Linked DNA regions of Neurospora crassa OR74A. The protein of the gene in region 1 interacts with the protein of each later gene in a biochemical or structural test. Links are inferred from orthologs where the notes say so. Each region holds a gene or a part of one and is shown in the gene's direction. Other genes may lie near its edges. The genes, in order: prm-1, NCU16757 and NCU03702.

The links.
Region 2: of the proteins of prm-1 (region 1) and NCU16757, one has a biochemical effect on the other in vitro, tested with the Saccharomyces cerevisiae proteins (2 studies listed by BioGRID). The link is inferred for Neurospora crassa OR74A from reciprocal best matches to the Saccharomyces cerevisiae genes HMT1 and GAR1.
Region 3: of the proteins of prm-1 (region 1) and NCU03702, one has a biochemical effect on the other in vitro, tested with the Saccharomyces cerevisiae proteins (3 studies listed by BioGRID). The link is inferred for Neurospora crassa OR74A from reciprocal best matches to the Saccharomyces cerevisiae genes HMT1 and NOP1.

The regions. Positions count from the first base shown.
Region 1 is NC_026501.1:554,671-558,417, forward strand, and holds prm-1 (protein arginine N-methyltransferase 1), read left to right. Parts: upstream 1-1,293; 5' UTR 1,294-1,557; coding exon 1,558-1,643; intron 1,644-1,728; coding exon 1,729-1,742; intron 1,743-1,855; coding exon 1,856-1,985; intron 1,986-2,101; coding exon 2,102-2,433; intron 2,434-2,504; coding exon 2,505-2,983; 3' UTR 2,984-3,580; downstream 3,581-3,747. Other genes in the region: mob-2b (protein kinase activator), read left to right, coding at 1-294. UniProt on the Saccharomyces cerevisiae protein: S-adenosyl-L-methionine-dependent protein-arginine N-methyltransferase that catalyzes both the mono- and asymmetric (type I) dimethylation of the guanidino nitrogens of arginine residues in a variety of RNA-binding proteins such as heterogeneous nuclear ribonucleoproteins (hnRNPs) and small nuclear ribonucleoproteins (snRNPs).
Region 2 is NC_026504.1:1,400,004-1,403,750, forward strand, and holds NCU16757 (H/ACA ribonucleoprotein complex subunit 1), read left to right. Parts: upstream 1-1,241; 5' UTR 1,242-1,422; coding exon 1,423-1,480; intron 1,481-1,646; coding exon 1,647-1,846; intron 1,847-1,911; coding exon 1,912-2,316; 3' UTR 2,317-3,432; downstream 3,433-3,747. Other genes in the region: NCU16756 (hypothetical protein), read left to right, coding at 129-962; NCU07902 (hypothetical protein), read left to right, coding at 3,505-3,747. UniProt on the Saccharomyces cerevisiae protein: Non-catalytic component of the H/ACA small nucleolar ribonucleoprotein (H/ACA snoRNP), which catalyzes pseudouridylation of rRNA and is required for ribosome biogenesis.
Region 3 is NC_026505.1:2,139,941-2,143,687, reverse strand, and holds the start of NCU03702 (rRNA methyltransferase NOP1), read left to right. Parts: upstream 1-1,441; 5' UTR 1,442-1,728; coding exon 1,729-1,843; intron 1,844-2,079; coding exon 2,080-2,140; intron 2,141-2,202; coding exon 2,203-2,437; intron 2,438-2,498; coding exon 2,499-2,824; intron 2,825-2,882; coding exon 2,883-3,049; intron 3,050-3,110; coding exon 3,111-3,178; 3' UTR 3,179-3,747. Other genes in the region: NCU03703 (60S ribosomal protein L17), read right to left, coding at 146-301, 394-581, 784-997, 1,186-1,188.

The DNA.
Region 1 (3,747 bases):
ATTTGCCAGACCATCTTCCTCCAGATGTTCCGCGTCTACGCTCACCTTTACTGGGCCCACTTTACGGAGCCCTTCTACCATTTGAACTTGGAGAAGCAACTCAACAGCTGTTTCAGCCATTTTGTGCTGACAGCGACCGCCCTCGATATGCTCAAGCCGGCCGAGCTTGAGCCAATGCAGCCTTTGATTGATCTCTGGGCCGCCAATGGTACCTTTCCACCGGAATCGAAGGCTTATGAGTACGCCAACTTGAAGGTTGGCACTCGCCTGATGCAGATGGCAGGCCTGGCTTAATTACAGGAGCATGAAGAAAACAAGGGGATGTTATGGGGAAAAACAGAGCATATCATGATGAGGCTTGTCAACATGTGGAGTATCCTGATCTATCTCGGTTATGTTGGGTTACTCTAGAGGATAGATAATGGCCATGTGTACATTGAACGGGAGTTAGATGTGGCAGGCCAGAAAAGCGATGGATGAGGAGACTAATACCAAGACGAAAAGTATCACTATATATATCTGGGCGTTTGCTGAAGGAAAATGGCTTGTCCTTACTGGGATGCTGACTCGAGAGGGCAAGGGGCAGTTAGATCTCTTAGTCGCTTGAGTGTTCGAAAGAAGGTTGAGAAGTGATGGCTCATTTATCATGGATCTGAATGGCGTTGAAAGGGAAATGCCAGATCTCTACAATACAACACCCTTCAAGATATCCAAACCCACGTTGGGGTTACACCTGATGTCAGATACATCAATGGGAGCACGGGCTAGACCTAGCGCCAAAGTGGCAAGCACCAGGGGAGGGGGCCAGTGAGGTGGAGTGCTCCAAAAAGGGTCCAAAAGGGCCCATCAGCGGCCCAGACTGCCAAGACCGAGCTAGGCACGCCAGATCCAAAAGGGGACAAGCCTGGAGATGGGACGGCGTCGCGGGGGGCAAGAGATCGGATAATGCGATAAAGCGGTTTCAGTTGTAGTCCCCATGTTCGGGGGGCCCGGCGCGCAGACTGTACTAGTGTACTAGGTACATAGTAGGTTGTGCCAGGCGTGCCTGTCAGTGCCTGCGCGGATGTCGGACAGCCCTGTACCTACGCGTGTAAGTGAGGTGTCGGGCCCGTGTGGGTGACGACTCGGGCGGGTACTCTTGCGGGCAGGCGGGAAAGCCCCCCAGGACCCCACCCCACCCAGGAACTGCCTCCCTCTCCATCTCTGGAGCCCAGCACAACCCAAGTTGAAGTGGGGTATGGATCTGATTTGGCAACCCAATCTCTGACGGGGCCAGGCAAAAAGTTGAGGCAAGGAAAGGCCATGCTGGACCCGTCTGGGCAATTGCCATTGCGGCACACGAAGAAAACTTCACAAGCATCAGGCTCCCCTTCGAACCTGCCTCTCCATCCTCCTTCCCACTTTTTATCTCCATCGCTGAGCTGCCCTGCAAATTTTCCAGCTTTACATTTTCCTCTTCTTTGATTCCTTTTGGTTTCTTTACACCAATTCATCTTTTATTCTTGTCTGTTTTCCCATACACAAACAGCACCAACAGCAGCATCAACAACAGTCAAGATGGCGGCCAACGATCAGATGGACATTGAGGTTGCCGAGCAGAAGCTCAAGAGCATGGATCACGCCGAGCAGCACTACTTCAACAGGTACGAACATGACCGTCTCGTCTCTTCTCGTTGTTGTTATATGGTGGTAGAGACAGATCAAAGCTAACATGACTTCGTTCTCTAGCTATAACCACCATGGTGAGACACCTCCATCCGCTTATCGCGGGGTCCACGGACTGCGCGCTTCCTAGTTGGCCTCGTGGCCGTTCATAGTCTGACTGTTGCTAACCTGGACCTGTTGCGCGACAAAGGCATCCACGAGGAAATGTTGAAGGACGAGGTCAGAACCAAGTCATACATGCACTCTATCGTCCAGAACAAGCATCTCTTTAAGGACAAGATCGTTCTCGATGTCGGTTGCGGTACTGGTATCCTCTCCATGTACGTCCCCACTCCCTGCATCACGCAAACCTGCAGCTCTGGCGGTCCTGGAATGCGCCGAGCACTGCAATCCAAAAACGGTGGAACAGCCTGCTAACCGTCTTCTCTTCTCACAGGTTTGCCGCTAAGGCCGGCGCCAAGCACGTTATTGGTGTTGACATGTCCACCATCATCTTCAAGGCTCGTGAGATTGTCAAGGTCAACGGTCTCTCCGACAAGATCACCCTGATCCAGGGCAAGATGGAGGAGATCGAGCTTCCCTTCCCCAAGGTTGACATCATCATCTCTGAGTGGATGGGTTATTTCCTCCTCTACGAGTCCATGTTGGACACTGTCCTCTACGCCCGTGACCGTTACCTGGCTCCCGGCGGTCTTATCTTCCCCGACAAGGCTACCATCTTCATTGCTGGTATCGAGGACGGTGACTACAAGGATGAGAAGATTGGCTGTATGTTTCCTGCCCCTGGTTTTTTTGCTTTCGATTTTGTGAAGAACTTCCTACTGACACCGGTTTACCAGTCTGGGACAACGTCTACGGATTCGATTACAGCCCTCTTAAGGAGACTGCTCTCTCCGAGCCTCTTGTCGACACTGTTGACGTTAAGACCGTCGTCACTGACCCCGTCAACATCTTGACTCTCGACCTTTACACTTGCACCACTGCCGACCTGGCTTTCAAGACCAACTTCGAGCTCGTCGCCAGACGCGATGACTTCATCCACGCCCTTGTCGCCTGGTTCGACATTGACTTCACTGCCTGCCACAAGCCCATCCGCTTCTCGACCGGTCCCCACACCCAGTACACCCACTGGAAGCAGACCGTCTTCTACCTCAAGGACGTCCTCACCGTCCAGCAGGGCGAGAAGGTTCAGTGCTCGCTCCACAACCGCCCCAACCAGAAGAACAAGCGTGATCTTGATATCACCGTCGATTACAAGTTCGAGAACCAAGACCCCACGAGGCAGGCTGAGGGCAGGTGCTTGTACAAGATGTGCTAGTATTTTATTTGATTGCAGATCTGCCGGACAAAAGTGTCGAATCGACGAGTCAAATGGACGATGCGAGCTGAAAAGCCGCCCCTTGTCCATGAGATGGTCGAAGAGATGTGGTTGAGCTCACAGTATTCACGAACGAAGCTTTTGGGGGTATTGGGAATTGCACGGCGTCTTAAAAGAGAAGGGGTTGCTTTTTAACCTGGGTTTTGTGTTTTTCATATATTTTGCTTTTTACGAACTCACTAGCGGGACCAGGGGTTTTCTTAGATATCCAGCAGCGGAAAGGAAGCGCGCGCGGAAGAAAGAAGAGACATACATATAAGGGAACTCTCTTACTCTGTAATACACAGAGAAAACATGAGTCAATGCTTGATTAAAGCACGAAATCACAACGCGATACGTTCGGCCCGCAGGGTTGGGTGCGTGATTGCAAAAGCATCCGGAAGATAACATCAACGGAATGCTCATAACTGATCACAATGAGATATCATGAGATAGTGATGCTGAATACTTGATGCGATACCCAACGGAGAAAGAGTTGAGTACGAGTTGTATAGTTTGTTAATTTGTTGAAAATGGAGAAATCTCGACCTATACCACAACAAGGCATGATTTTCTGATGTTCCCGTCAGACGAAGTTGAATTGAACACCCGCACTTTAATCAACCGACCAAAGTCGAAATGAACTTTGCTGAGGTTGGTGGTAGTAAGCGCCAATCAAACAACGCATAGCCGGACGTTGAATCATCTTTGTTCGAGCTTGGTGG
Region 2 (3,747 bases), on another chromosome or scaffold:
AGACTCGGCAGAAGCTATCGGCTCCTGGAAGTGAGTACTTAAGCACTCAGCCGAGCATCGTGAACCAAAGTTGTCCATGGCCGAAACAGCTACTCTAATCACAGCCAAGCACCTACCTTCACATCACGATGCTGTCCAGATCTGCCAAAGACACGGTCTGGTTCACCGTTGTCTGCTTCCTTGCACTCATTACTTCTGTTTTCGCGAAATGTACCCGGGAGGGACTGCTAGCAGCAGCCAACAGTTATGTAGACGCCTTCTCCGCCGGCAGACTTGACGGCCTCCAACTCACCTTGAGCAACTTTGCCTACCAGGAAAACAACAAGGCAGCCGACATCAAGCGCGGCATCCTCAGCCAGTCGCACAACATCAGCCTCAACCGATCAACGGCCGACACCATTGCCTGCGCCAGCTACACCATGATCATCTCATTGGCGAGCGGTTCCAACTCCAAGCCCTATGTCACGGCAACCCAGATCCGTCATCCAGCCGATGGAGACACATCAACCATCTCATCTATCGACACCATCGCTGCCACGACGGGGTCCTTGTTCTTCAACGCCCAAAAGACGTTCGGGTACATCCAGAAGGAGAACTGGGGCGTCATTGAGACGGCGGCGAATCGGCCAAGTCGAGAACTGTTGAGAAAGGTCGGGGATGCTTATCTCGACATGTGGACGGATGCAAAGGCGGCTGATAGTATTCCATGGGGGGCCGACTGTGAACGCGTTGAAGGATCGCAGTATACCAGACCGTGTGGTGTTCAGTTACCGAGAGGAGGCAGTTCAAAGCGCAACGGAAATCGGCGATATGTCATCGATGAGGTGATGGGTTCGGTTGACGTGCTGTGCTCGTTTGATGCGCTGGGGAATATGCCGGATAGCCATGAGATCCGGGTCGAGGGCGGTGAGGTCAAGTATGTCCATACGATTACGGTAATTTCAGAGCGTCGTGTAGTGTGATGAGGCGAACAGCTGCTGTACTTGAAGCTGCAAAATGCATCGATGAAGTCGGAAAGTGTTCCCGTCAAACTGTTACAGGGCTGCACAAAGTGATGTCGAAATCCCCACATTCGCGTTTCTTAGGGCCCCGGGCACGGACCCACAGCCCACAGCAGCCACTAACCCTGGTCCATCCACAATTCGCATTGAGCCAATGCGCCGCCAGGAACCGTTTGAAAATGGGACTGGCTTAGGTGGGGTGGTGGACATCTGCAGACGATTGCCGGCCGGGAAAAATTGCTACTCTTTCAGTCTTCCAGGAACACGGAAAAATTTCAATTGTCTGCGCCGGCGAAACGATCATTGTCAACATCTCACTCCGAACCCGACGGTCCTCCAATTCACTGACGCGCGAGGAGACGCAAGACGCACCCTTGCCGTATTCCCATTTCAACAAACAACCCAATCCAACCAACAAATCATGTCTTTCAGAGGTCGTGGAGGAGGTGGTGACCGCGGTGGCCGTGGCGGCTTCAGAGGTACGCCGCATTATTCTTCTATTATCAACCGTTATCGCACACCTTGATGTCGTCGCCTTGGTCGCACTTTGCCGTCAACCATTGGCGCCACTCAGGGCGATTTACCTTTTCACCCATACTTCTTCCCCAATGTTCAATGACAACTAACATAGATATCCTACAACAGGCGGCCGTGGTGGCTTCGGTCAGCGCGACGATGGTCCCCCCGCCCAGGTTCTCGAGCTCGGCACCTTCGAGCACGCCGTCGAGGGCGAGATGTTCTACAAGTCCACCAACCCCAAGATCCCCCATTTCAACGCTCAGGTCTTCCTTGAGAACAAGACCCCCATCGGCAAGATCGATGAGGTTCTCGGTCCTCTCAACCAGGTGCGCACTTCCCTCCGAAACATGAACCATAGCACATCAAATTAACACTCCTCTCCTTCTTTCAGGTTTACTTCACCGTCAAGCCCCAAACCGGCATCGTCGCTACTTCCTTCAAGCCCGGCGACAAGGTCTTCGTCGGCTCCGAGAAGCTCCTCCCTCTCGAGCGTTTCCTCCCCAAGCCCAAGGTTCTCGGCGCCCCCAAGGTGAAGAAGGCTGGCCGTGGTGGTGCTGGTGGTCGTGGCGGTCCCAGAGGCGGTGCCCGCGGTGGCGGCCGTGGCGGCTTCTCCTCTCGCGGCGGCGGCGGTGGCTTCTCTCGCGGTGGTGGTGGTGGCTTCTCCCGCGGCGGCGGTGGTGGTTTCAGCAGGGGCGGCGGTCGCGGTGGCAGCGGCGGCTTCTCGAGGGGTGGTGGTGGCCGTGGTGGCGGCGGTTTCTCCCGCGGTGGCGGCCGCGGTGGTCGTGGTGGCTACTAAGCGGTTGCGAAGGAGTGACGACGACGACGACGACGAAGACACCAACCAGTGGTGCTGCTGCTGGCGCTGCTTGGAAAGGAAAGGGAGCGGAAGAAAGACTTGTTGCTTTACCAGGTTCTTGGGTTTTGTTAAACATGGTCCTCAAAATGGCTATGGCTTGTGGCGTTATGGAAGGGACAAATTCTTTCTGCCGCATCAGGAGGGTTCGGCAAGTTGTGTTTTTATCTCTGTAGGCATCTCTCGGTTTTCTCTGTCTGCTAATTTCGGTTTCTTTGGACTACAACACATCAAACTGAGCGCATCTGGATCTGGCTTCACAAGCCTTCACGTTGACGGTGGATGAAATTGGGGCATTAAAATGTCCTTGGCACAGGCACCAGGTCATGTTCGGACAGACAGCTATGTGTCCGGTCACTTGCGTACAATCAAGGGCAGTACCCAGTTGTATACGTCACCGCCGCCGTCGAATGGGATCCTCAAAGATGCACGACATCCTCCTGAACCTCGGGTTGGACTGGATTTCGGTAGCCTAGCTGGGTAAGCAGAGGCCCCAGTCCAATATGATCGACCATGCAGCAACCACACATCGACCGCATATCGAGCGCCAACCCGTCAGATATAGCACCGACTGAACCCCAAGCATCAACGGCCCGCAACTGACCCCTTCGAACGACGAACCTCTCGCAACCCGAAACCTCTTCTTCGTCTTCACCCACTCCGTCCGAGGTGTTCCTACCCATCATTCTTCCAACGCCGCAACTTCCACAACACCCCTCGCGAAAAAGAATCAAGAATTGTCGAGCCTCTTCGTGCCTATTTCCGCCGACTATGCGCACAACAGGTCACGAGCCGTTACCAATGTACCCAGACAGCAGCGCATGGTTGTCCGCCTCCCCGTCTTTCCGGCATTTTGCCATTGGCTTGAGTGGCTGCTTGGGTCATTATGGCTTGTGACTCTAAAGGGCCCGTGCAGGCTGCGGTCCGTGTGGACTGAGGTTGACCCGTGGTGGTGGACTGTTAGTTCCGGCGCATGTCCTTGTAACCTTGTTCAGCGATAGCCGTATATAGATCAAAACGCAACTCGACCTTCCCCTAACGATGTCAATTGTTGAGGCCCCTTCACTAACTCGTTCCTCCATATCATTACATCATTTGCATGCATAGGTATCATCTCTCCAGGATTGCAATATGGCTGACGACTCTGAGCCTCAGGACAGCAAACTCTCCACAGCCGCAAACATTGTCGGCCTCCTCACTTTCACACTTGCGGCGCTCAATCTGGTGATTGTCCGAGTTCTACAAAACGAAAGAAGCATAGTCAACCAACTCCGGAAAAGGGGGTGGAGGAATTCTCTCAATGCCTTGGAACAAAAGATACGTTACATTCGGCTCTTTAATCCATCTTTCGTGGGCTTTGGAAGAGACCAAATC
Region 3 (3,747 bases), on another chromosome or scaffold:
TTGAGTATTCATGATCGACCCCTTTTTCCCTGGAATCGTGACCTTGACCCGAAAAATGCCATGCTCGCGTACACCGTTCCGGAAAAAAAGTGAAGCCCTCAATCAAAACATCCCCTCGTCCAATCACCTAGCTATCAAAGCGCATTTAAGCGGCAGTGATGGCACGGCGGACGCGAGCGCCACGCTGGCGGGAGGAAAGGTGAGCCTCCTCGCGGACAACGGCCTCGGACTTCTGGACGACCTCATCGGCCTCAGTGAGGATGAGCTCGATGTGGCAGGGGTTGGACATGTAGGGGTTGATCTAAAACATAACTGTTAGCCAATGACCGGCTTGATCGTCTATCTGCCGGCGCAGAAGCAGAAATCAGGGGGGTATCTCCGGGTTTGACGTACGCGACCGTGAGCGCGGTAAGTGCGGCGGCGCTGCTTGGGGGCCTGGTTGACCTGGATGTGCTTGACAACGAGGTTGCCAGTGTCAAGACCCTTGGCATCGGCGTTGGCCTCAGCGTTCTTGAGGAGACCGAGAAGGAACTCGGCGGACTTGGCGGGCCAGCGGGCGCGGGAAACACCGAACTGCTTGCCTATATGACGAAGAAACGGTCAGCACCGTGTCTTCTATGTCCTCCATTCGATTGCGGTTTCGTGTCGGTCGGTCGCGGTTCCATCATGCTGACAATGCCCCCCTATTCCCCCGCCACTTTGTCCTCCCCACTGTCGTCGTCGTCGTCGCATGATGTACCGGTTCGGGTGTGTTTGTGCATGTAAATATCGAGTAAGTCGTACCTTGGGCGGCGCGGCCGGTGCCACCAGCGTAGCGTCTCATGGGGACAGCCTCCTTCTTCTCAAGAACGTTCTCGAGGAACTTCTGAGCACGCTGGAGCTTCCAGCCATTGATGGCCTGGGCGGTCTCACGGGTGTTCTTGAAGGAGACACGGAGGTAAGAGCCGCGCGAGCGGGCGGACTTAGCCGGGGCAATCTCAGTCGCAGCGTACCGAACCTGCGATTTTGAACAAGACTCGGTCAGCGATTCCCTCTCCTCCAAGTGCTCGCAATGCTCGCAAAGCCGTCATTGTCGTCCGTTGAGACTTTCGTCGTCATTTCGGCTGCAGAAGCCCGAAAACTGTCCTGAAGCAAAATAACGGCGGCGATTCTCTCGTTCGGCGGATTTCGCAGGGATTTACTCACCATCTTGCCTGCTTGTCGATGAGAGGACGGGGAATCGACCAAGTGTGATGTTCAGAGGTGGTGATGGGTTCCAATTTTGGCGTACAAAAACCGATTTTCGCGATTAGGGCTCTGTGGGCACTGCGCAGGTGGCTCGTGCGGACCGTCACTTTGCCTGAGGCACGTGCACGCGGGGACAGTAAGTGCTAGCGCCGATAACAGCCTGCCTCCTGGACTGCCGGCCGTGCACGATAGCATCCGCAACAAACTGGAGAGCCTCGACCGCCACGCCAGGACGACAGCCAATTGCAAAGGCAGAAGGCCTCGACCGGAAAAAAAAGTGCTCCAGCGATGAGACTTCGTGCCCCGCTTTTTTTTCTTTCAATCCATGTCCAGGAAATTTTGCACCCAGCTCCAGCAAAAGCTCTTTTCCGAGTCCTCGACAGCGCCGCGCGACAACTCTAAACCCATTGTGCCTCGCACGACTGATCTTACAACGCGTTTCGGCCCAGAATCGCAACTCATACCGACTCCGACTTATCAATACCGACACATTCTATAAAAATGGGCTTCGAGCGTGGTGGCAGAGGCGGCGCCCGTGGCGGTGGTCGTGGTGGATTCGGTGGTGATCGTGGTGGCAGAGGCGGCGCCCGTGGCGGTAGCCGTGGTGGCTTCGGTGGTGAGTTTGGCCTCAATGCCATCGCCTGAATGGTCTTTGCGGTTATGTCGTTGCTTCTGTTCGTCATCTTGAGAGATGTCTCTGCGTCTGCTGCGGCCCGTGGTCGCCATGCATGCCTCTTGACTTCTCGTAGTAGGATGGCGATTTCAGTCGAACTTCATATCGCAACTCGACTCAACATGCGATGGCAACAGCAACCACATTAACGCAACACTTTACTGACAATGACTTAACAGGCGGCCGTGGTGGTGGTGCTCCCCGTGGTCGTGGCGGTCCTCGCGGTGGTGGCCGTGGCGGGTACGTCTTGTGTTCAAAACCCTTGATTACTCCAAAGACATTGACTGACATTATGAGTATAGTGCTACCCGTGGTCGCGGTGGTGCCCGCGGTGGCGCCAAGGGTGGTGCTGCTGGCAAGAAGGTCATCGTCGAGCCTCACCGTCACAAGGGCGTCTTCGTCGCTCGTGGTGGTAAGGAGGATCTCCTCGCTACCGTCAACCTTGTCCCTGGCGAGTCCGTCTATGGCGAGAAGAGAATCTCTGTCGAGAACGCCTCTAAGGAGGAAGGTGGTGCTTCCACCAAGACTGAGTACCGCGTACGTTTTCCAGGCTTTCCAGCTTGTGGCCTCAGACAAAGACTAACATTGGACTTTGCAGATTTGGAACCCTTTCCGTTCGAAGCTTGCTGCCGGTATCCTCGGTGGTCTTGAAACCATCTATATGAAGCCTGGTTCCAAGGTCCTCTACCTCGGTGCTGCCTCCGGTACCTCGGTCTCTCACGTTGCCGATATCGTCGGTCCTACTGGTTCCGTTTACGCCGTCGAGTTCTCTCACCGTTCCGGCCGTGACCTCATCAACATGGCTACTCGCCGCACCAACGTCATCCCCATCGTTGAGGATGCCCGTAAGCCCATGGCTTACCGCATGCTGCTCCCCATGGTCGATGTCATCTTCGCCGATGTTGCCCAGCCCGATCAGGCCAGGTAAGCCGACTTATACAGATCCTTGACACTGTATGTGCCTGACACTAACACATTTCAGAATTGTCGGCATCAACGCCAAGCTCTTCTTGAAGCAGGGTGGTGGTCTTCTCATCTCTATCAAGGCTTCTTGCATTGACTCCACTGCTCCTCCCGAGCAGGTCTTCGCCTCTGAGGTCCAGAAGCTCCGTGAGGACAAGTTTTTCCCCAAGGAGCAGTTGACTCTTGGTACGTCCATCCGCTTCCCTTTTGGTTGATAGAGCCAACAATAACTAACAATCACCCACAGAGCCTTACGAGCGTGACCACGCCATGGTTTCTTGCGTCTACCAGCAGAAGGAGTTCGTCGATAACTGAGTTTCGAATTAGTACTGTTCTATCTTCGTTGCTCTGTTCTGGAACCTTCACATAATTCGGTGTTCTACTGGCAGGATGGTTTTGTAAATCTGGAACGGCGAATGGCGTTTGGGTATCTGCCTTGTTTTAGCATTGTGGGAATAAAGCACCAGGGTTCTTAGACTGATATCCGGAGTGACCCCGGTTGCTTCCATCTTACGCCGCCTTTCACGATCTCGTCACGACTCCTAAGTCACCGCGCAACGAACCTCCTGTTCACCAGCGAAATTGGCCAGCCTACAACACATCAAGAACGATCACCAGTCAATCACCCTAAGAACGAGAAGGGCGCTGGATAGTCAAGCAGAGGTTGCTTTTATCGGCGCTTAAAATGCTCGACAGCTTGGTTCGTCTTTATGGCGTTTGAAATCTGCGAACTGAGAGTCCCTCCCCTTTCATCAGGGTATCACGTCGAAAACTGAGACTATTCTGGCCATTCGAGTTTCAAAGGAGATTGTTTGGGCCTGGGGACGCAAGGGTACTGCAAGCCAGTCATTACATGGCTTTGAGGATTATTTAAACATGCCTAG